Danio rerio: one gene and its partners. The protein of the gene in region 3 purifies or fractionates together with the protein of the main gene of each other region. This does not show direct contact. Links are inferred from orthologs where the notes say so. Each region holds a gene or a part of one and is shown on either strand. Other genes may lie near its edges.

The links.
Region 1: the proteins of rnf7 (region 3) and asb6 purify together in Homo sapiens (co-immunoprecipitation; 4 studies listed by BioGRID and IntAct, counting the BioPlex papers as one, with this or other methods). This does not show direct contact. The link is inferred for Danio rerio from reciprocal best matches to the Homo sapiens genes RNF7 and ASB6.
Region 2: the proteins of rnf7 (region 3) and rab40b purify together in Homo sapiens (affinity purification with mass spectrometry; 3 studies listed by BioGRID and IntAct, with this or other methods). This does not show direct contact. The link is inferred for Danio rerio from reciprocal best matches to the Homo sapiens genes RNF7 and RAB40B.
Region 4: the proteins of rnf7 (region 3) and asb7 purify together in Homo sapiens (co-immunoprecipitation; 4 studies listed by BioGRID and IntAct, with this or other methods). This does not show direct contact. The link is inferred for Danio rerio from reciprocal best matches to the Homo sapiens genes RNF7 and ASB7.
Region 5: the proteins of rnf7 (region 3) and rab40c purify together in Homo sapiens (co-immunoprecipitation; 4 studies listed by BioGRID and IntAct, with this or other methods). This does not show direct contact. The link is inferred for Danio rerio from reciprocal best matches to the Homo sapiens genes RNF7 and RAB40C.
Region 6: the proteins of rnf7 (region 3) and cul1b purify together in Homo sapiens (affinity purification with western blotting; 5 studies listed by BioGRID). This does not show direct contact. The link is inferred for Danio rerio from reciprocal best matches to the Homo sapiens genes RNF7 and CUL1.

Annotation. Positions count from the first base shown.
Region 1 is NC_133183.1:8,437,516-8,440,501, forward strand, and holds the end of asb6 (ankyrin repeat and SOCS box protein 6), read right to left. Parts: intron 1,313-2,986; coding exon 582-1,312; 3' UTR 501-581; downstream 1-500. UniProt on the Homo sapiens protein: Probable substrate-recognition component of a SCF-like ECS (Elongin-Cullin-SOCS-box protein) E3 ubiquitin-protein ligase complex which mediates the ubiquitination and subsequent proteasomal degradation of target proteins.
Region 2 is NC_133187.1:33,958,702-33,962,701, forward strand, and holds the start of rab40b (ras-related protein Rab-40B), read right to left. Parts: upstream 2,801-4,000; 5' UTR 2,745-2,800; exon of another isoform or gene 2,464-2,744; 5' UTR 2,386-2,463; coding exon 2,220-2,385; intron 1-2,219. UniProt on the Homo sapiens protein: RAB40B small GTPase acts as substrate-recognition components of the ECS(RAB40B) E3 ubiquitin ligase complex which mediates the ubiquitination of target proteins.
Region 3 is NC_133193.1:44,703,754-44,707,966, forward strand, and holds the start of rnf7 (RING-box protein 2), read right to left. Parts: upstream 2,801-4,213; 5' UTR 2,798-2,800; coding exon 2,623-2,797; intron 1,242-2,622; coding exon 1,194-1,241; intron 1-1,193. UniProt on the Homo sapiens protein: Catalytic component of multiple cullin-5-RING E3 ubiquitin-protein ligase complexes (ECS complexes), which mediate the ubiquitination and subsequent proteasomal degradation of target proteins.
Region 4 is NC_133182.1:9,750,212-9,753,711, forward strand, and holds part of asb7 (ankyrin repeat and SOCS box protein 7), read right to left. Parts: intron 3,334-3,500; 5' UTR 3,291-3,333; coding exon 3,080-3,290; intron 1-3,079. UniProt on the Homo sapiens protein: Probable substrate-recognition component of a SCF-like ECS (Elongin-Cullin-SOCS-box protein) E3 ubiquitin-protein ligase complex which mediates the ubiquitination and subsequent proteasomal degradation of target proteins.
Region 5 is NC_133178.1:25,496,171-25,499,670, forward strand, and holds part of rab40c (ras-related protein Rab-40C), read right to left. Parts: intron 2,567-3,500; coding exon 2,344-2,566; intron 1-2,343. UniProt on the Homo sapiens protein: RAB40C small GTPase acts as substrate-recognition component of the ECS(RAB40C) E3 ubiquitin ligase complex which mediates the ubiquitination and subsequent proteasomal degradation of target proteins.
Region 6 is NC_133199.1:21,267,554-21,271,834, forward strand, and holds the start of cul1b (cullin-1b), read right to left. Parts: upstream 2,801-4,281; 5' UTR 2,732-2,800; intron 1-2,731. UniProt on the Homo sapiens protein: Core component of multiple cullin-RING-based SCF (SKP1-CUL1-F-box protein) E3 ubiquitin-protein ligase complexes, which mediate the ubiquitination of proteins involved in cell cycle progression, signal transduction and transcription.

The DNA of each region.
Region 1 (2,986 bases), on a different chromosome or scaffold from region 3:
ACCCACTGATCCTACCAAATCCAACCCGCTCTGAGCTGGGATCAAGCAGGCGATTCTTTGTATGGAAGTTGGTTGCTCTAAAAAGGAGGCTAAAGACCATGGCCTCTTGTCATCTGTTATATAATCATTATATATTCAGTGGCATAAAATGCTCTCAAAATGATAATAATATTGATTATCACCACAATTTCTGTGATAATCTATAACACAACAAAAATTCCTTATCGTGACAGGCCTAACACCAACAGTACACATTTTGAATGGCTGCTTTTTCTAACCCATTAACTTCAGGTTTTGGAGTCTCTTCTTGTGTTCTGATGAGTTGATTCAGCTCATCTTTGATTAGGGAGAGGTTAAAAGACAGTTGGTGTGCCTTCAGCAACAGGGTTGGGAAACACTGGACTAAATGATGCATAATTTTCATTTTTAAGCAAAGTGAACTATCCCCTTAATACTAGTTTCTCCCTTAGATCACTGATTATAGGAAACAAGCTTTAATAGTCGCTTTAATCTGAGATTTAATGGATTCAGTGCTCATTAAAGGCTCAATATTTACAAACACACACGCACAGGTTTGTATCTCAGTGTGAGGAGCCTCGAGGTTTAAATCGGTCCCATCCGGCTCTATTCTTCCAGCTGTTTTCAGGAAGCAGCAGGTCTTTCAATCTGTCTGGCAGTGGCAGGGCTTTGACCTTCTCCTCAAACGGCCAGGGCAGAAGACAGTTGCGGATCAGTCTCCTGCAAAGGCACCTGAGCGGCATGGGTTGGCTTTCTCGCTCCTCTAGTTTGCCGTAGAGCTCCAGCAGGGGCTCATGGATCGAGCCCTGCTCCAGCACAGGCAGTTGAGAGCGAGGAAAAAGAGGAGGGATGGCCGGAGAGCAGATCCTGGCTAAATCCAAAAGCACTTCGGCTTTGGCTAAAACATCCGCCACTTCTGCAGCATCAACAGCTTCACGGAGAGCTTCAGCAAGTCGGGTGAATATCAGCTGTGGTCCTGTCCAGTAGGAGGCGCTGTGGTGAGAGCAGACGAAGGAGGCACTGTGTTGGAGAAGGAGAACTGTTAGGGGAAAAAGCAGGTCGAAGTTTTCCAAGCTGGTGTAGGTGAGGGAATGCTCCCACACTTCCCCGTCGGTGGCGCTCAGGCAGCAGCTTGGACCAGCGCCGTGGCTGATCAGAAGATGTGCCACATGGGTACAGAAGTGGCCGATTTCTTTGGCATCCTCCACACTGCTCTCTAGAGCCTCCTTCACTAGGAAGGCCAGAGAAGACATAGGGGTCTCGCCGTCTTGTGTGGTCGCGTTCACATCTGCACCTGCATGGGATGGATTAGTGTACATTAACCCCTGTGTATTGTTTAAATTGACTACTCTTTCGTTATGTTCGGGGATGTTTTTGCCCCATTGACTTCCATTATAATAAAATGTTTTGATTGCAAAGCCATGACAGCACATAATCATGCATTCTTGATTGCTGCTGGTTTTCACTGATTACTGTTAATAATCTGTTGGTAGCAGTAACTCTTTAGATAGGTCTGTGCTAGACACGTTTCAGGCTTTTATAAGGAGTTCTATGGAGTAAAGCCGCAGATTATAGTGTGTGTGCATAAATACACTTACTGTTTACTGTTTACAGTGTTCTGAGAGCTGAGCAGCTAATTTAGATTTTCTCAAACATATCAAGGTACTGTAAGCGTGCAAAGGTCTCTCTCTCTCACACACACACAGACACACACACACATACACACACATACACACACAGACACACACACACACAGACACACACACAGACACACACACGCACGCACACGCACACACACACACACGCACACACACACACACGCGCACACACACGCGCACACACACGCGCACACACACGCGCACGCACACACACGCACGCACACACACGCACACGCGCACACACGCACACGCGCACACACGCACGCACACGCACGCACACGCACGCACACACACGCACACACACACAATAATACAATGAAGAACGCATGATTATATGCCATCTTTTCAATCAAAAGATGTCATTATAATTCAAGTCAATGGGGCAAAAACAGCCCTGGACAAAATGAAAGGGTAGTCAGTTTTTCCAGATTGTATTGCTGGGTTTTTTGCAAAAGAACTTTCCAAAAGTATGTCAAAATACCAAAAATCATTCCATTTTATTAAACACAGAGAAGGCTGTGGCCAAATTAAGACCCAGAGTTAGGGCTGGACAATAATTTGATAACAATATATCTCACAATAGATTTTCTTTTTTAAATAAAGGTGATATGATTTTTAACCCTATTTCCGGTATTTTGATATAAATTTATATATATATATATATATATATATATATATATATATATATATATATATATATACACACACACACACACACACACACACACACACACACACACACACACACATATATATATATATATATATATATATATATATATATATATATATATATATATATATATATATATATATATATATATAAGATCCTATACATTGTACCATTTGTCACTGAATGACATTTTATTTTTTTTAAAAGTTGTAAGAGCCTGGAGGTATTATAGACTTTGCCAATTCAGTTTGTAGACTTTTATAAAGTACAGACATCTATTGTGTGCATTCTTGGCAGTTTTTTCCTTGCTTTTTAAAATTGTCCACATCGATAGCGACCAAAATTAAGAAATATATCATGATATAAAATTTTTGCCATATCGTCCAGCCCTACCCAGATTGGATGAAAACATCCTCAACAGCACATAAGGGTTAATAAGATCACCGCAAAAATGCCAGTTCTGTCATCGTTTACCCACCATTCACTTGTTCCAAACCTTTAGGACTTTCTTTCTTCTGTTAAACATAAAAGAAGATATTTTTAAGAATGTAGGAAACTTGTAACCATCCACTTCCAAAGAATTAGTTTTTTGGAAGTTGATGGTTACAGGTTTTTAGCTTTCTTCAAAATATCTTCT
Region 2 (4,000 bases), on a different chromosome or scaffold from region 3:
TTGGCCTGCAAGTTCCCCAAGCTGTCCAACAAAAAAATCTGCTAGGTATGCGTGTTATTCTTTATATATCTCTAAACTGCTGACAGTAGACAAAGGACCTTTTTGTGGATAAAGCATGTAAAATTTTGATAATGCGAGTGCACCTTTAGGCTGTTTCAAACGGCAACTTATCACAATCTTGAAAACATAGTTAACGTCAAATAGTTAACGGCAGTTCATGCTGACATTAAAAACACTGCACTACTCTGTTCAAGAGCAATTCCAGTGTTATTGATGTGACATTTGTAGTAAAAATTCAAAACATACATTCACAGAGAAAGCATAATGTTAATGTTATATTTTGATATATGTTTATATTTCCCAAAACAATTAACCACAAAGCTATGCGATCAGAAAAATATCAGTCTGTAAACATTTTTATATTTTAAATGTGGAAAATAAACATGCGTTATGGATGCGACCAAAAAAGTTAGCGAGTTTACAGTCTACAACATACTTTGTAGAAATTCTGTGAATAAAACTGCACAAACCAAAAGTGAAGCTAATCAAAAGGATAAGAGTTGGCTCTCTATAGAACAAAAATGACTGATTTCATTTTACTTTACATGTTTGCATTTATGAGGAAAAAGCTTTGTTATAGATGTGACACCTCTGTTATGGATGTGACGAATGTGAAATTGTGTCATTTATTCATTCATTTTCTTGTCAGCTTAGTCCCTTTATTAATCCGGGGTCGCCACAGCGGAATGAACCTCCAACTTATCCAGCAAGTTTTTATGCAGTGGATGCCCTTCCAGCCACAACCCATCTCTGGGAAACATCCACACACACATTCACACACACTATGGACAATTTAGCCTACCCAATTCACCTGTACCGCATGTGGGGGAAACCGGAGCATCCAAAGGATCCCATGCGAACACACGGAGAACATGCAAACTCCACACAGAAACGTCAACTGAGCCGAGGCTCGAACCAGCGACCCAGCGATCTTCTTGCTGTGAGGCGACAGCACTACCTACTGCGCCACTGCTTAGCTCCTGGCACTTGTGCGACTTTGGTTAATTAAATATAAATGTTACAAAACATTTACAGACATTTTGAGCATTTGAGCACACAAAAAAATGTAGAAATTGTTTCACTATTTTGGTGAAAACTTTTTTTTCTCAAGGTATTTTGATTTTTCTTATAACCTGTTGCGCCTTTTCTAAAAGTGTCTGGCATGCATGTCTCAGCTGCTTGGATAAATGAGTCCACAACTGTGCAAGCCACCCAGCCTCTGACCCTAAATGAACATGTTGGCCGTCAATTTACTCACTAGTGTAATCTAAGCTGTTAAAAAGAGATTCACCATGTTCATCAGACTCTGGACTTTGCCCAAATGCTGTGACGATGAAAATGTCACATGTAGTGTGTTGTGTTTCTTGCATGACAAAATAAAACAATTTAGATTCGAGCAGACCTGCGATAGCATTCTGGAGAAGATATGAAACTCATTAAGAACCCCGTCTCACACACTTGGTTAATAAGTGATATGCAAGTCATTATGTATAGTCTTAATAAAATCATTATGCAATGTAAAGGTTCTATGGATGTTAAAAGTTCTACTTTTTATGCCAATAAAGATCTTTATTTATTTTTTTAAAGTGTAAACATATCCTGTAATTTATTAGTTATGTGATAACTTTAAGTGGCTTGAGTCGCATAAAAATGTTGTTTGTCTTTTGCGCAAGACACATGAAAAATATGTTGTTTAGTTGTGAAAGCCCAAAGGGGGGTTCACTGCAGTTGATTTTGTCCCCTGGGAAGAGTTACTTTTTCCAAAACAGTAACTAATAACTACGACTACAACTGAGCTGTGAATAAGAGCTTGACAAATACAATAGATGAGCACTGTAAGCTTAAAATAATTGTCATACTTATTATGATACTAATCAATTATAGAAAATGTAGAATAGATTGTTTTCAGCTGCCAGTTGTCGTTGTTGTCTTAGTTTTCAATTGACAACATTTCTAGTGACAAAATAAGATACGTGTAACTGTTTTTTTACAACATACACGAGATGCATTAATGTTACATAATATACAAGTCATGATTATAGATTCAGCTCAAATGCACTGACTGTACACTTCATGTTCAACACCCAATCTTCAAATATACAAAAAGAATATCTGGTAGAGGGTTTGATGAATATTAATTAAACAATACAGTGTCTTACCCATGTTGTATCCATAGGGTGACTCACTGGACCCATCCTGAAGACTGGCCAGTATTTCCCCTTTCCCCACATCACTGTCTCCAACCAGTAGGAATTTCAGAAGAAAATCATAAGCTTTTGCTGGGCTGCTTCTGTGGTTCATCTTCACATCAGCCCGATGACCCATACTGGTACATCATGTAATTGTCGGACTTGACGGACTTGTGTTATATTTCAGTCCACCAAATGTAACTGAACGATTTAGCTGTTTTAAAAAAACAAACCTACGTGTTGATCACTTGTCTCTCTGTGTGAAAAATCTCATGTCCAGAACATGGCTAAAGCTGTCCTTTTGTTCAAAGATTCGGACTGTGGATCCACTGATACTGTTGCGTCACATCAGAAGGTAAATAAAGAGCCTCATATGTTAACAATATCGTAGCATAAGGCGATTAGCTACTTATAATTGGTTATTTACACTTAAAGTAATGGTAATTATAATACAGAACACCTAATGTTTATCTCATCTTTACAGTTTGAGCAAACCTGGTCCATTGAGCTCTCAGCCACGATCCCTCTCGTCTATCAGCCTCCCTAAACAGAAAAATGTTGAGTTCATCCTTGGATTTTCCTTGATTGGTTCCTGTGAGGAGTTGCTAGGGCAGCTCTGCTCTTTCATTAGACGTAACTTATGTCAATCAAAAAACACATGAACGCCCACTTTGTATTGGAGAGGGTGTGGCTAATCTCCTGTTTTGAGCCCATATGCGCTGTTCCCAGATCAGCCCTGGTAGGACCCCACCTACTTAGGTTTGGTCGCAGTAAACAGCGGCTCAGCTGATTCTGGGTCAGCTCTTTTAGCGAATTTCAAGCGCGTGCTCGGGTTTGTTGTTTTCCGGGGCACGAAGAATGACGTAGTGTTAAAATGACGTAATATTACCATTGTAGTTTCTAGCTTTTCCTTCTAAAATATTTTTGTAAATTTACTTCGTCTATATATTCGTGTTTGTGTGTGAAAAAATATTAGTATTTTATATTATTATTGATAGTATTATTATTATTATATGAATCTCTCTCTCATTATATATATATATATATATATATATATATATATATATATATATATATATATATATATATATATATATATATGTGTGTGTGTGTGTATGTATTTATGTATGTATGCATGCATGTATGTACGTGTATGTAATTATATATATATATATATATATATATATATATATATATATATATATATATATATATTCACACATATACATAGATACATACAGTTGAAGTCAGAATTATTAGCCCCCTTTTGATTTTTATTTTCTTTTTTAAATATTTCTCAAATTATTTTTAACAGAGCAATGACATTTTCAAAGTATGTCTGATAATAGTTTTTCTTCTGGAGAAAGTCTTATTTGTTTTGTTTCAGCTAGAATAAAAGCAGTTATTAATAAAAAATTTTTTGCCATTTTTGGGGCAAAATTATTAGCCCCTTTAAGCTAATTTGTTTTCCGATAATCTACAGAACAAACCATCGTTATACAATAACTTGACTAATTACCCTAACCTGCCTAGTTCACCTTATTAACCTAGTTAAGCCTTTTAATGTCACTTTAAGCTGTATAGCAGTGTCTTGAAAAATATCTAGTCAAATATTATTTACTTATTTATTTATTTAAATATTATTTACTGTCATCATGGAAACGATAAAATAAATCAGTTATTAGAAATAAGTTTTTAAAACTATTATGCTTAGAAATGTGCTGAAACAATCTTCCCAGAACAGAACAGAA
Region 3 (4,213 bases):
TATTGTCCCCCTGCCCGACCCGCCCCGTTTTCTGCCCGCCACACCCGATCCCGCTAAAGAGCGGGGGAGAACAAAACTGAAAATCCCCCAGCTATACAGTCCAGACAGCCAAGCTGTCTGTATAAACACACACAGCACCAAGCACACACACACAGACAAATCTCTCTCTCTCTCATACGCGCGCGTGCGCACTAACACACACACAAGCACCAAGCAGACACACAGGCGTTTGCTGTTATATCAACTCAAAGGCTTGTAATACCATGTATCAAGTACCAATGTAATACCAAAAGGTTTTATATAAAGATATATAAATACTGAGTCGCGCCAGCTCCGGGCCGCAGCGCACATTACTATCGGTCCGATTCCGGCAGGGATGCGGCAGCGTCGGTTTGCTTAAGGCTGCCGCATCTGGCCCGATTGATTCGGGCCGGAATCGGGCAGTGAGTCCACAAGCATCCGGAGTCCGGCAGCCAGAGCCGGGCTGAGTGGTAAGTCTCTGGCAGGCGAGAATCTAGCCGGAACTGGCCTGAGTGTATTTTGCTATCTGGGAAAGCTCTCTCTCTCTCTCTCTCATTCGCGCGCGCACTAACATACACACACACACAAGCACCAAGCACACACACAGGCAAAGCTCTCTCTCTCTCTCTCTCATTCACATAGCAATATCCGCGATATTGCTAGACAGCCCGCTCCCGTCCTAAATTAAACCTGTTACCGACCGCTCCCGCGACTTATTTGGAAATTTATTCCCGCGCCGCAGAAATCTGGTCGGGTCCTGTGGCGCCCGCGGGAATGCAGACCTCTATAACGAACCTTTTTCCAATACAATTGAGTCGAGCACTTCACTTGTTCAGAAAGCTTCATTTTACCATCACTAGTATGATGATGTACTTCCAACTGAAACAAAATATTAAGTAGGGGTTGGGGCTTTCTTTTTGCACATTATTTCCCCATAGCAAAGTAATTGTAAGAGGGGCATGGCTAATATTATTGTTTATGAGTGAAGCAGTTGAGCTGATGTCAACAGATAAAGGCTGGCACTCCAAGCATGAAAGCAAATGGTCAGAATTACCAAAAAAAATGTCCCCAGTGGATTAACATGCACTGATTAATCGTTCACCTAAAGATTAACTATGTGTGCGAGCACAATAAACATGGTACATTTTGATTTCACATGGGCTTTAACTTACCAACGCAGTCTTCTTGTTTGTTTTCGGCCTGACACCTCAAGCAGGCATCTGAAATGGAGTAAATCAGACATATTCAAAAACACCTGCTGGGATTTATATATTGTGCTAGAAGTAAACCAAAACTCAGATACAGTTGTAAATTAAAAAGAAAATACCAACGGAGAGTTTTCTTTCTTTGGTATTGTGATGTCTGTTTTATTGTGACGTCTGTTCATTCGCACAGTTTAAAGGCAGCTAGTGAAGCATTTGCCCAATATATGACAGTGGTCTGACTGCAGACTTGGTGCAGTTGCAAGCTGAGCTGCAACAGTGACGTCACTAGCTCCATTGAGTGCATTGTGTCTGATATTGCAAAGCTGAGACATGAAGTCTGCATCCAGATACTACTGGACTGGAATTTAAAAGGTCTGCCCAAACGTACACCAAACATGGTTTTATATTTGCACATTAGTTCATTTTTGAGAGTGACCTCTTCTGACCTGATCTCTATATTGTTTATTATGCTACTTTGATTGCTCAGTCTGAAATTACAAATGATATATAATATTATAAAAAATGATACATTAGTACTATTTAATTGACTGGCTGCTGTGCTTAACTATTTAAAATTGGCAAAGAACGCTTTCCTGAAATTATGGATAAAATCCAAATGTGCAAATATAAAACCAACTTTAACCCAATCACTTAAAGGCTGACAAATGCCATTTTGCAGGAGTGGGTTTTAGCGAACTAAATGTCAAGAGAGAAAAAAAAGAATGCCAGCAGAGGAAAGTCATTTTTCCTATAGGGTCAAATTTTGACATTTTGGTTAGTCTAGATATTACAAAGTCTTAATTGTTCATAATAAGATTTATACAGTTTTAACTTCACAGTTGCTTTTAAACAGGACAGACTTGCTGAGATCATATGAAATCACAGTCTGACTGTGCACATTTATTATAGTCTGAATATTTACACTGACTTGACCAAATAATGTGAACTGCCTACCTAATCTCCATTTTGCTGTAAACTGTTAAACTAATCATAAACTAATGTTTTTCCCCTTCACATGTATATTTGCATAATTTATACATTATTGAACATATCTTAGACGTCATATGGATTTGAATGTAAGTTTAATATTTACATATAATGTCCATTCTATGTTTCTATTCTCGTCTGTTTTGAAGCATTAATGCATTTGCTCGTCGCATTTAAACAGTATGTCATGCATTATATGCACTTTCCAATGTTCGAGTAAACATTTATGTCATCACTTTAGGTTTCAACAAATTCTGTCTCGGTAGACAGCAGTGTGTTATATTGCTGAAAACGACTCGGTCGTGTGTCAGGCAGATATTATCAAATTCATCAGCCTCCATTCTTGGTCTGTTTATCTGAGAATGATTAGAAATGCTATCGGCTAGCCGGTTAGCTAAAAAACACTCACCCATAACTTGAACGCGACAAATAGCGCAGGTGTCACACTCCACATCCCAGCTCCACATGGCCACCGCGTTCCACTTCTTCAGGGAAAACATTTTGTCTCCCCCTGATTTGGACCCAGAAGAACCGCTGTGAGAATGTCCTAAACCTGGCTCATCACCGTCGTCCATCTCCGCCATGGCGAAGAGGCGTAGAAACAAAATGGCTGAGATAGGCTGGTCTGCAGACACGCAGATCGGCCTCTAGCTGGAGTTGTCTGTTAACAGGCCCCTGGCTGGATGTTTTAAAATACTGCGATGTAGAACATTTTTAATAAACACTTTAATAAACATTTTTTTAATCAATTTATTTAATTTTTCATGCTAATAATTCCCTCATTCGAAATTTCTGTATGTATTTGATTGAAAATGTATCTTATATTTGAACTTTAACTATATTTAACTCATATAAACTTCTTTTCTTGAAACTATATCCAACTTATTTTTTAAAAAACGTGGAGAATTGCACATTTTGATCATATAAATACAAACTATGTTGGAAAAACTTCAGAACTTTTGTACAATTGTTATCTGTTGAATAAATTAGCCAATATGCTGTGATTCCCAATACAATAAAAATATTGTAGAAACAAACTTACCCACATGAAAAAAAAATACTAAAGTGATTTATAATAAATAATATAGTGCTTTTGAACCAAAGGCTACTATTTTAGGCCTATTAATATTTATACTATAGTATTCAAAACAACTCTGTTAGTTGAGCATAGCCGTATTAACTGATAATCTACTGTAAACATATGTAATATAATTTTTACTAAAGAAACGTTGATATATTGTAATATAATAGCCAGAGTTGTAAAAATGTAGTACTATTTGTTTATATTTATTAAATTGTATTTTCTAAATCTTTTAATCTTACAAAAAAATTTAAGTTTATATATTATGATTGGTATATATCATTAGTTCTTCTATTACCATATTATTATTTTACAGTAATAGCACATTTTATTTCATATATGTCAAAAACATGTATAGCCTATATTTTTTCATGTGGGTATATAAGTTGAGCTAATATATTCTTGCTTGGACTTAGAAATATGCAAAAATATAAGATTTATTTAGGCTATATATATATATATATATTTAAAAAAATTCAGTCAGCATTCAGAATGGCTAATTTCGGGTAAATCAATAAACGCAAATTCTGTCAATATACTATTTTTAAAGTTTAAATCAAGTTTGGGCCAGCTTAAAAAAAGAATAATAAATAACGATTAATGTATTTTTAAGTGTTAAATTGAGAGTGGCTAATAATTAATTAAGCAGCTTTTTTCAGTTACTTTTTGTCTATTTCCAAATCATCTAAAAAGAAAAAAAAATCATAAAAAATAATGACATTAGAATGAACAGATATTTAAAATAGAATAATAAAATAAAAAGCTAAGCATGTGACCCATGTCTGCTTTGCATTATATTGCATGTTTTGCAGTAAAGCACATTCACAATGCTGAATAGGCCTACGTTGACACTGAAATCATCATCATTCTTTCAGCATGCAACCTCGTCAAGGTTGCACTATCAGAAAAATATAGGCCT
Region 4 (3,500 bases), on a different chromosome or scaffold from region 3:
TGTACCTAAATGGTCTGCATTGACACCTTTAAAGGATATAGTAGTAGCTAAACAGTAGCTTTCTTATTTTTTAGGCACATATGTGTACCTTTAATGCACAAACATTAACTGTTGGCAGCGTTTGTCTATGAAAGTACCAGTTGAACACCAGTCCGGTATTTTAAAGCATAATAGATGACCAGAAGAGATGCGGAAGCTAATGACATAATAAATCACATCAGGCACAATAATAACCTGGATTATCAGAATTGTTCTACTGAGAAAAAGATCTTGATCATTTCAAAATCATAATTACACAATTACATGAGAAGATTCCCACCTACAATTAAGTAGTGCCTAATCAAAGGGTAATTGAGTTCACTAAAATGTATTTAAAAATTGAACTTGTTTTATTTTAGTTAGATGCCAAAGCAATATTTCTAAAATTCATTAAGTTTACCTTAAACGAGCAAAACTAAAACGAAAAGGCAGAGTGAAAAATAAAAACTGCACATAAAGAAATTAAATAAAATAAGAAGAAAACATTCACACCACCATCCCCTTCACATAAAAAATACAAAACATTAATATAAATATATACAGGGCTTGACGTTAACGCCCGTCACACAGGGCTACATCGTCAACGCTTGACAGAGGGCGTGTCGAAAGTTGGGGCTGATGCGATCGTCGTAGCCGCATCAGTCAATGAAATTAGTCAGCAATAGGCCACTGTCTGAGCTGGTGTATTTGCATACAGCAATCTGATTGGCTTTCCGTCGGCGCTTGAAAAGTTAAACAAGTCTCAACTTCTGCAGTGAGCAACGCCTCTGAAGCAGCGCTGACGGATCCACAATGCAGTTCGGCAACGCCTGACGTCACCCATTAAAAGCAATTGGGAAGAGTTGAAGCTGTGCCCCGTGTGAATGTGTGTGAACATCACTAGCCACTCTCCATTTTCACTAGCCACAATTTTATTGTTAGGAAAACATATTTTATATGCATAAATTTGACTTTAACATGCTAAAATGACTTGATTTTGGGTCATGTCCGCATGCATTTCACTTTGTGTGTTGTGCATGACCTTGCTCAATGTGCATGAGCATATGGGTTGTGGTTTCATAGCAATTAGTTTTTATTTCACATGACTTTTCAGGGTTCAAAATTAAGGATTTACCATTAATTATTTAATTTATCTCTGACCACACCAACAATAAATTATTATTTCTTAGCCATACATTTTAAATAATGTGTCAAAACAAGCAAAATATAGCTCTATACATACACTTTTTTATTAAACAAAACTTTTCTTTTTAAAAATGATATTGTCATGTATCTGAAACAATGCATAGTCTGTGTCCTGGTCAAAGGTCTCAGATCACCAGTTAACTAAACGGGAAGTCAATCTCCTATTAAAGCAATCTTATTGTACAAAATATAGCTAAACCATACATTAACAAAAACAACTAATGCCTAGTTCAGACTGCGTGATTTTAGCCCTGATTTTGGCTCGCCGATAGGTTTTGAGAAATCGTCGACAAATGCCTGAAATCACGGGCAAATCGCTGCTCGTGCACGTGAGTGACAATCACACAGTATGAACTTTCAAAGACGCGATCTGAGAGAATCACCGATGAGTCGCCGATGCCTGTGAGATATTTGTCATGCTAAATATCTGGAGCTGTCGGCAATTCAAATCATGCCGTGTGAATTGAGTTTTGACTGAAAATAACATCAGCGATCGCCTACAGCCAACGAGAGAGCAGCTTTCACTTGTGTGTGCGTGTGTGTATACCTGCTGCAGGCCAGCGGGAGGCTGGGGGAGAAGTTAAAAGCGCTCTTTTTCGGTTTATTTGTACCCATGAAATGGAGGAAAAACTAGTGGAGGTTTGACAGGACTCAGGAGCAACCGTGTCTGTTTGACATTTCATAGAGAAAGAAATTCGCTTAATATCAACTTAAGTTGAGGGGAAATGGCTAATTCCCTTTAAACCCAGATGAGCAAACATGTACATGTTCAACCCCATTAAAGGCTTCTTTCTCATTATGTACTTAATAACAAAAGATATACTACGTGTTTTTGGCTGTGAGACGTAGTTTGGACGAAGTTGTCGGCGATTCTCCCTATAGTAAAGTCATGCAATGTGAAAGCCCCTGTCGCCGATCCATCTTGCAGTGTAAACAAAGCAGCGACGAAACGCAAGCCCAGATAGTCATGCAGTGTGAAAACATCTGTGACACGACTACTTTGAAAATCATGCAGTCTGAACTCGGCATAAGCAAAAGAAAGCAGGTGGAAAACATAGCGCGTGTGATAATTAAAGGATGGTCGCGCTACGTTAGGCCTGTTAATAATCTATTCAAAGAATGGTGAAAGTGAATGGTGGAAGTGACCCCTGCTGCTTACAAAAACACATCTTTTTACAAATTAGGAGCTCTTGAAAGAAGGAGTACTGTGGGTGCACGAGCATCACCTTTTGTCAAGTCTATTTCAAAGAGAACCGATGAATTGCACCAATTGCATTTTCAGGAAAGGAAACGGGAGCACGCACGCTTTTTAAACAGCCAAGCGCATTACCTCACCTGTGCACGTAAGAGTTATCATCCTCTCATTCGCTATTCATCTGCTTTCTTTTGCTCACGCGAACACAATTACTTTTGTCAGTCATGCTGCTTCTCGATTTTAGGATCACATTTGCACGCATACTGGGCCATCTTTATTGTAGAACCCTGCTTTTAAGACAACTACAATTCAAAAATTATTTCCAACAAGTGGCTAGTCGGAGTGTCTGTCTAATCTACCACAGCTGAAATTTGGCGGGTTGGCGGGTGTTAATGAAAATGATTATTAAACATTATGTGTAGATTTTCAAAAATGTTTTTTTTTTATTGTTTATATATTTTATATATCTTTGTGGTCTTTATTGACTGTTGTTAAGGATGATCAAAATAACCGATTAACCGTTAACTGAAAAGTACGAAAAAGTACGAATAGGGACAATAACAAAATGCCTGAGTGACCCTAGGAAGACCTTATGATGATGAATGTTTGAATTAACATAGTTTTAAAAGTCACACTGAATGCTTTAATAAAATAATTTACCTCCATGCTCGAGGAAGACGCGCACGCAGCGCTCCTTGCCCTTTGCTGCAGAGAAGTGCAGCAGCGTCCAGCCGTTGGCGTCTCTGATCTTGGGCGAGTAGCCCTGCTCCAGCATCTTGCGGACGGTGTAAACATCGCCCGCCGCCACCGCTGCCTGGATCTGCAGCTCCTCCTGCAGCTCTGGGTTCCTTCTGCAGTGATGGTTCAGCATCCTGTCACATCGCGCAGTACTGCCGGCAGACGCTGCTGTGTCCCTGCACACACACGGACACGATAAAGTGAAAACAATAGGCAAGCTCATCACTGTGAATCAAGGGACGAATAATTAAACATGCAAAGCTATATTAAAGTGCAAAAAAACTGTTTTCAAAACTTTTAATTCACCATCTGAGTGATCACACAAACAGACAATCGTGTTTTT
Region 5 (3,500 bases), on a different chromosome or scaffold from region 3:
CTGATCATGCCAGCATTTCTCCATCACCCAGAAGGTTGAAACCAAACATTTCCACTGTATTTATGGGACTGTGTTTTAAATGGATAGATCACCCAAAAACAAAAATTGCCATCATTTACTCACACTTGACTTGTTCCAAAGCTGTTTTTTAACAGAAGATGTACATAAGAATGTTGGAAACACGTAACCATTGACTTCAATAGAAAAACAATTACAGTGCTCAACATATACGAGTACACCACTCACAAATCTCATTTAAATTCATATTTTCTATATGAAGCTTTACAATATTATATTTCTGCGGATACATTAGTTCAGTCAGTACTGAAGCCACATCTGGAGCTAATCTAACAAAATAACCAACAATAATTGTTTAAAAATTTGTACACCCAATCTTATATGTTAGGGGTAATTATTAAATTACATTTTCAAAAATCTTTCCTTTTCTAAATATGTTTGGTGACTATTTTAATATTATTTTAATAAATATATTGATTTAATAAATCCATTCTGTTTAAATGCAATAATATAAATAACCCCAATTTACTGAGAAATGTATAAAAATATTCATTTTCAAAATGGGGCGAACTCGTATTTGCAGAGCACTGTACTATGGAAGTCAATGGTTACAGGCTTCCATCATTCTTCAATACATCACATTTTAATACTGTTAATCAGAACGGAACTAAAAAAAAAAACTGATCATATTATGCAATACCCTGTAATGATTTATTTTCTTTCCTCTTAGATTTTTGTTTGTATATATTTATTATTATTAATCTTTTTACTATTGGAAAGAGTATGAGCAATTCCAGCATTATGGATGAGATATTTGCAGTAAGAACTCTAAACATAAATTCACATGGAAAGTATACGTTAACTGTATATTGAAACATCTGTATATATATTTTAAAACAACTAACCACCGAGTTGAGGGATCAGAAAAATATTAATCTGTAAACATTTTTAGATATTAAATGAGGAAAATAAACATGCGTTATAGATGCGACCAAAAAGTGCACATTTTACACCATACTTTGTAGTAGGGCTCTACTATTAGGGGGAAAATATCTAACTGCGATTTCTTTCACAGATATTGTGATTTTGTTTTAGTTAAGCTTCAGCTCAATCACACTTCTTATATGGCCACTTGTGGTGCTTTTTTTAGGTGCTGGTTGTTGTATTTCCTCTTGCTGGCAGAAATTCTGCGACAGCTCTTACAAATGACCAGTTTTTGCTTAGTGTCTTTGACTTTGAAACCAAGATATTCCCATATTACCGACATGCTGTTTTTCCTTGATATTGATTTGTCTATTAATGCTTTTGAAACATCAGATGCCATCATCCCACTCGTCTGCGCTTTCCAGTTTGTTTGTTTGTATTGTGGACATTACGCATGTTCTGTTGCACTATTCTGATTGGCCGAACGCAAGTGTGCTCACTCAATTGGCTAGTAAGACAGTCGTGCACAGATAGCAGTCATGCGTTTGCTCTGGGTGGGGGAAAGTAAATAATATATATATTCATATTGCAGCCTCTTGTAATTAGCTAATCGCAATGTTTCAAATCACGATTGTGATGAGATTAAATGCACAGCCCTACTTTGTAGCAATTCTGTAAATTAACCTGCCCAACCCAAACGAAAACAATGCTAACTAAAATTATAAAAGTTGGCTCTCCATATAACAAAAATTATTGATTTAATTTTATTTTACAATTTTATATTTATGAAGAAAAAGCTTCATTATGGATGTGACAAATGCGAAACACTTTATGACTTTCAAATATAATTGTTTGAAAACACATTTTTGAGTATTTTTACAGTACTCCATCAAAACCTAAAAGGTTTTGCTATTTTAGTGAAAACTTTTTTTTTTTTATGGCAAGGTTGACATTTGCATTCAATTGCTCGTATACTTTTTGGTTGTTTCTATCCATCAACCCCTTGCTCCCAGAAACACCCCCCTGGTTTCATAATGAGTTTACAGGCCTTCGACAATCCCATATACACATGTATAAATAATTTATCTAATCGGTTTTCCATTTTTTTCCTGTATATTCTAATTTTGGTAAGAATTTTGAGGTTTGTAAAGGTGTAAAAATGTGTCAAATTAATATTAAATTAATATCAACACCATAAAAAAACGCAAACTGGTTTGGAAGAGTAAAGGTTGTGAGTAGACAATGACCAAATTTTTATATCTGGATGAACTATCCCTTTAAAAATGTCAGGTAGAATCTGCATATTTGTTACTTTTTCGTAAACAGACATTGCTGTGTTTTACATCATAAATAATGTTAAATTTTTTTGTCATAATGAGCATGTTCAAGAGGAAACCTCACCTCTGTTGGGCCTCCAGAACTTCTCCATCCCATGCCTCATCAGGACGATGCGCGAGAGCTCTGTAAAGGACTCGATGACGTTGAAGTTGCAGAGAGGACTCACTTCAAAAAATGTCATGCCATTCTTTTCTGCGTATGCCCGTGCCTGTTCTGTGGGAACCTGTCGCTTGAACGCCAGGTGTAGCCGGTTACCCACTAGAATACGGGGCACTCCAGGTGCATGCTGGGGAAAGACAGAGAGACAAGAAAGTGTTTCAAACGGGGGATGGGGAAGACCAGAAAGGTAGAAAACACAGAGAGGAAGATACACGGTGCTGTCAGACTGAGTGAGTCTCAAACAGTGTCACAGCTGGCCTGTCTCATTTATTTATTCAATGAGGCCTGTCATATCTGTGCCTTTCTCTAGTCCACAGAGAAAAAGAGCACTCGCTCATGTTTAGAAGCTGTACTGAGCAGTGCATTTACATCAAACACGGACTGTGCAATATGACAATATATATATATATATATATATATATATATATATATATATATATATATATATATATATATATATATATATATATATATATATATATATATATCAAATGAACTAAAAAAAAGTTTATCATTTCGTATTTTGCTTTATTTTTCATTTTCTGGTGTAATATTTGTATAATTTATATGAGCGCTATAATACACACCATTACATGAATGTAGACACAATCATGAATAACATCACAAGAAAGTTGCAATCTTGAAATGCAGTGTTTACATTTTGCATTTTATTTGACGATACTGGTTTATTTTTGTTTGACCTGTAATTGTTAGTTTATGCATACGTTTGATTAATAATAACTTTATATTTCTATATTGTTTTTATAAAACATTCCTTATAGCTCTTAGTGTTCAATGTGAAAAATATGAGCACATATGAATGAGCAAACTTCTTAGTTTACACTTTTTAAATGTAAAAAAAAAAATCCTTTATATGTGGTAATAATTATTCTACTAATGCTAATCAACTATCAATTGACATAAATGGTACTGTATTGTGATACTGTATTATGTTATCTGATTACGAGAACAGTACATCAATCTAGTGTTTCAAATCTTACTCTTTCAATTTGGAGTAAAGTCTCGATCAATAGACAATTAGACATAACTGGAAAGAGTTT
Region 6 (4,281 bases), on a different chromosome or scaffold from region 3:
TAAACTCCACGCCTTACACTATCGAGCGTGTATACACTCTGACTACTTCTATATTGTTGATTAGCTGCTGGCTATTCGCTCTGTCTCTGGCTGAAAGCAGTTAGTGTCAACCATTCGCAACAGACTGTCATCGGTCCAATCAGCGCAGATTAGCTTCGCGCTAAGGAGGGGTTTGGGAACAATTGAATCACTGGACGATTCATACGGGAGTCGCTGGGATAATTAGGTAAAAATAAATGCAGATAATAAGACCATGAAAGTGTTTTTTGACCTTGCATGCATATTAGACTGTTGTTGGAGACCCTTACAACCAAAATATGACCCTATTTCATGAATAATATGGGCTCTTTAAAGCCTATCACTGTGTGAACATTCAGGCACTAGAAATTGTACCATTTGTAACTTTAATTAATGATATAGTTTTTTTTTAAATTATTTATGAAACTGTACAGTGCTCATTTACATTTAATTATTCGATTTCTGTAGCTAAATACTGTTAGAGTCCCAACAAAAATCATATAGCGCTGTTTATTTTACTTTTAATTTAGCTCTATTGTATTTATCCAAGCGTTTAATGTGTTTATTATATTTCATGAATGATTCTCTCTCCTACAAAACCATCACAATCAGTCCAAATCAATTAAATTGTATTCATATCGCAATTATATATCACAGATGAATAAAATATCGCAATATCATATTTTTTCAATATCGTGCAGCCCTAGGGTTTACATGTCTGCTTACTGCAATTTAAATAACCGCACATCACATACTTTAAAATAATTATAGTTTCTATAATTATGAGCTTAATCCTTCCACTTGATTAAAGTGTTGTGTTTGAATTAAGTTCATTTATGATATTCTGTCACCATTTACTCATTCTCAACTTTTTCCAAACAATATTGAGCTTTATATTACAAAATGTTGGATTTAAATCAAAATATGGATATGTTGGAAACCTGTAACCACAGACTTTCATAGCATGCTTTTCCTAACTTGTTACAGGTTTCCAACATACTTCAAAATATCTTCTTTTGTGTTCAACAAAACAACTCAAGTTGGTTTGAAACAAGTAAATAGTAAATGTTAGTAAATGAAAACAGAATTTGAATTCTCCGTGTAAGCTAAAGTGTCAGTATAAGACAAGAAGCTGAAAATAGAAAAGTACAACTAAAAAGAAAATAGAAGAATCAGACTAGAACTAATCATTTACATTCATTAAAAGACAAACATTTATTAGGGTATCCCTACTAAGTATTCGTTCTAATTAAGAATTTTGGTGGCAAACAGAAAGCATTGATAAGTTAAGCCACAAGGCCTATATTAATGGAGATTAATTCAGTCTTTATAAAATGGTGCTCACTGTTCATTTTTAGAAAAATCTGTATCCCTTTTATTGCATTTATATTGCCAATGAAATCAAGAACAGAATGGAATCCAAGTAGCGTCTGTAAATCATTGATGCAAAGCACTAGTGAAGCATATCAAAAACACACAAGAGATATGTCAACTATTACTTGTTAACTTCTGCTAGCATATAATCACAAATAATTAAATGGTACAAACTTTAAGTGATCAAATATATATATATATATATATATATATATATATATATATATATATATATATATATATTTTTTTTTTTTTTTTTTTTAATGAATTTCAAAATAAGATCTAGCTTTTAGACAAGCACTGGTAAAATTCAATGAAATAGTTGTTATTATAAATTGATCTTGTAATATGCCAAGTGATTCTTTTCCAAAATATGCTTGACAAAACATTTGTCCTATAAACTACTGTCACGTTTTACTGTGTTTTCTGTAAACGTATGTACTCTCACCAATACAAAAATTCATAAGAGCTCAGAATAAATTAGACAAACTCTGAAAAAGACACAAACCGCAACAAATAATTTTTCTCAACACCCTAACATAATGTGATAGTACATTATGAGTGACAGTTGCACAAAACTACATTACTATTTTAACCCCTTACATTTATATAAAACCTACTGATGTGTGTTGACACATACCCAAACATTAGCATGACTCATAAACCAACCACTTTGAAAACTCCTGACTGAGGTTATAATTTCAAAGGAAAACTTACCTCACACTGGCACATGAGGTTTAGGAAACTTAATGAAAACCAATTAAAATGTCTATGTCTCAAAAACTGCCAACCCAGTAGACAACATTTTGGGCCAAAAGTGCTGTCTAGGGTAGGCATCTGAGACAGCAGAATTCATGTGAATGTGTGTAAAGGACTCTTCGTTTTGCCTCAGCATTTGTTTACAGCTTTAGGTCTCCATAATATACTTCTTAACACATTAAACGCACTAAGTATTTAATTCATGAACATTTATATGGCGATATTGTTTTGTAAACAGCATCAATAGATTAGCAATGCTAGGTAGCAAGCTCGTTAGCTTCAGGTACCCTTCCTTGTAAACTGCCGCTAAGAGGAACTATTAATACCATAATGTCAACCAAACGTACGTCATTTAAATATAACCTGAAAATCAAGACAAACATTTGTTATTAACCCACTACTGTTATTCTCCGAGGCTTTTGAGATATAATGATGTAAAATGGCTACCTATTCTTAACTGGTGTGTAATATCACAAAAATGTCTCTCTTCCTTATCGACACATTGCCAGACACGTCCATTTAGTTTTCATTTATGTCAAACCGGGACGCCTGACACGTGTTTAAAGATTTTTAGTCTTACCTGTGTGTGTTTGTAACGTCGAGCAGTGTGAGGTCGAGGCCCTGCGCTCAGTCTGTGTGTGTTTGACTGGAGATGACTGGGAATTCCGTATTAGAGCGAGTGAAACGTCATACGCCACAGCGCAGAGACACACAGCGACGCCTACTGTCCACTCACCGTAGTACACCAGCTGCGTAGGAGCTTCACTCTTTCAGGTGCCAGGAACCACTTTGACCATTCCTGCTGCGAATGACTCAAAAAATGTGTGTAAAACCCACCAGTGGTGGAAAGAGTACTGAAAAATCATACTCATGTGAAAGTACCATTACTTGCCTAAAAATGTAGTTGAAAGTAGAGTAAAAGTATCTGTTGTAAATATTACTCAGTCAGTGAGTGGTGGAAAGAGAACTGAAAAATCATACTCAAGTAAAAGTACCATTACTTGCTTAAAATGTAGTGGAAGTAGAGTAAAAGTATCTGTTGTAAATATTACTCAAAGTATGAGTAAACCTTCCAAAAAAAAGTAGACCTTCCAAAAGTACTCGAGAGTAGTGACTAGTGAGTATTACGCTGTAAAAAGCTGATTTGTTTACATGTAATTTGTGCATGTGTGTGTAAACGTAACATTCTGTAGTGCATTTAGTTATTGCCCAGCAGGCACACGACATCATAAGACGTTAATACTAGGTTAGATTTAGGTTGTGATGTCAGGTGACCAAAATTCAATAGCCAGGGTCTAGGGATGTTATTTTGATGTCCAATAATGACGTCAAATGACGGTGATATTTGGTTGATTTTAGGTTGTGTTGGAAAGTGACCAAAATCCAACGTCCAGCCAACATCTAAAACCAATGTCATTGACGTCAAGTACTGACACTTATTCGTCAGGTATGGAAACCAAAATCCAACGTCTGATAGACGTAGTGGTAACATCCACACAACAACAAGCTGTAACATCATTAGACGTTGATATTTGGTATAGGTTGGACATTGACGTTAGGGTACAATGTCAATCTGACATGATGTTGATGTCTTGCGTCTTTGATTAAGGCCATTTTGGTCATCATACAGTAAACATCCTTAATTTTTTTTTCAAAGACATGCATCTAAACAGCCTCTGGGTCAATGCATGTAAAAATTTAGACATCTTGGACATGTTTAATGCTTCCAAACTGTTTGCTGAAATTATAAATCGCCCTTGTCTTGAGGTAGTTCATTGTGATGCGATTTAACTTCTTTGTGTGATTTGATTGGACACGAATCACAAGACAGTTTTTCTAATCTCCATAAACAACAGAAAAGTAGTGGAGTAAAAGTAAAAATACAGCACTAAAAATGTACTCAAGCTTGTAAAAATACACATTTTTAAATCTACTAAGTAAATTACAATTCCTGAGAAAAACTACTCAATTACAGTAATCTGAGTATTTGTAATTAGTTCCTTTACACCACTGCTCAAAGTATGAGTAAAAAGTCGGCCTTTCAAAAATACTTGAGTAGTGAGTGTTACACTGTGAAAAGCTGATGCATTTACATGTAATTTGTGAATGTGTGCAAACGTAACATTCTGT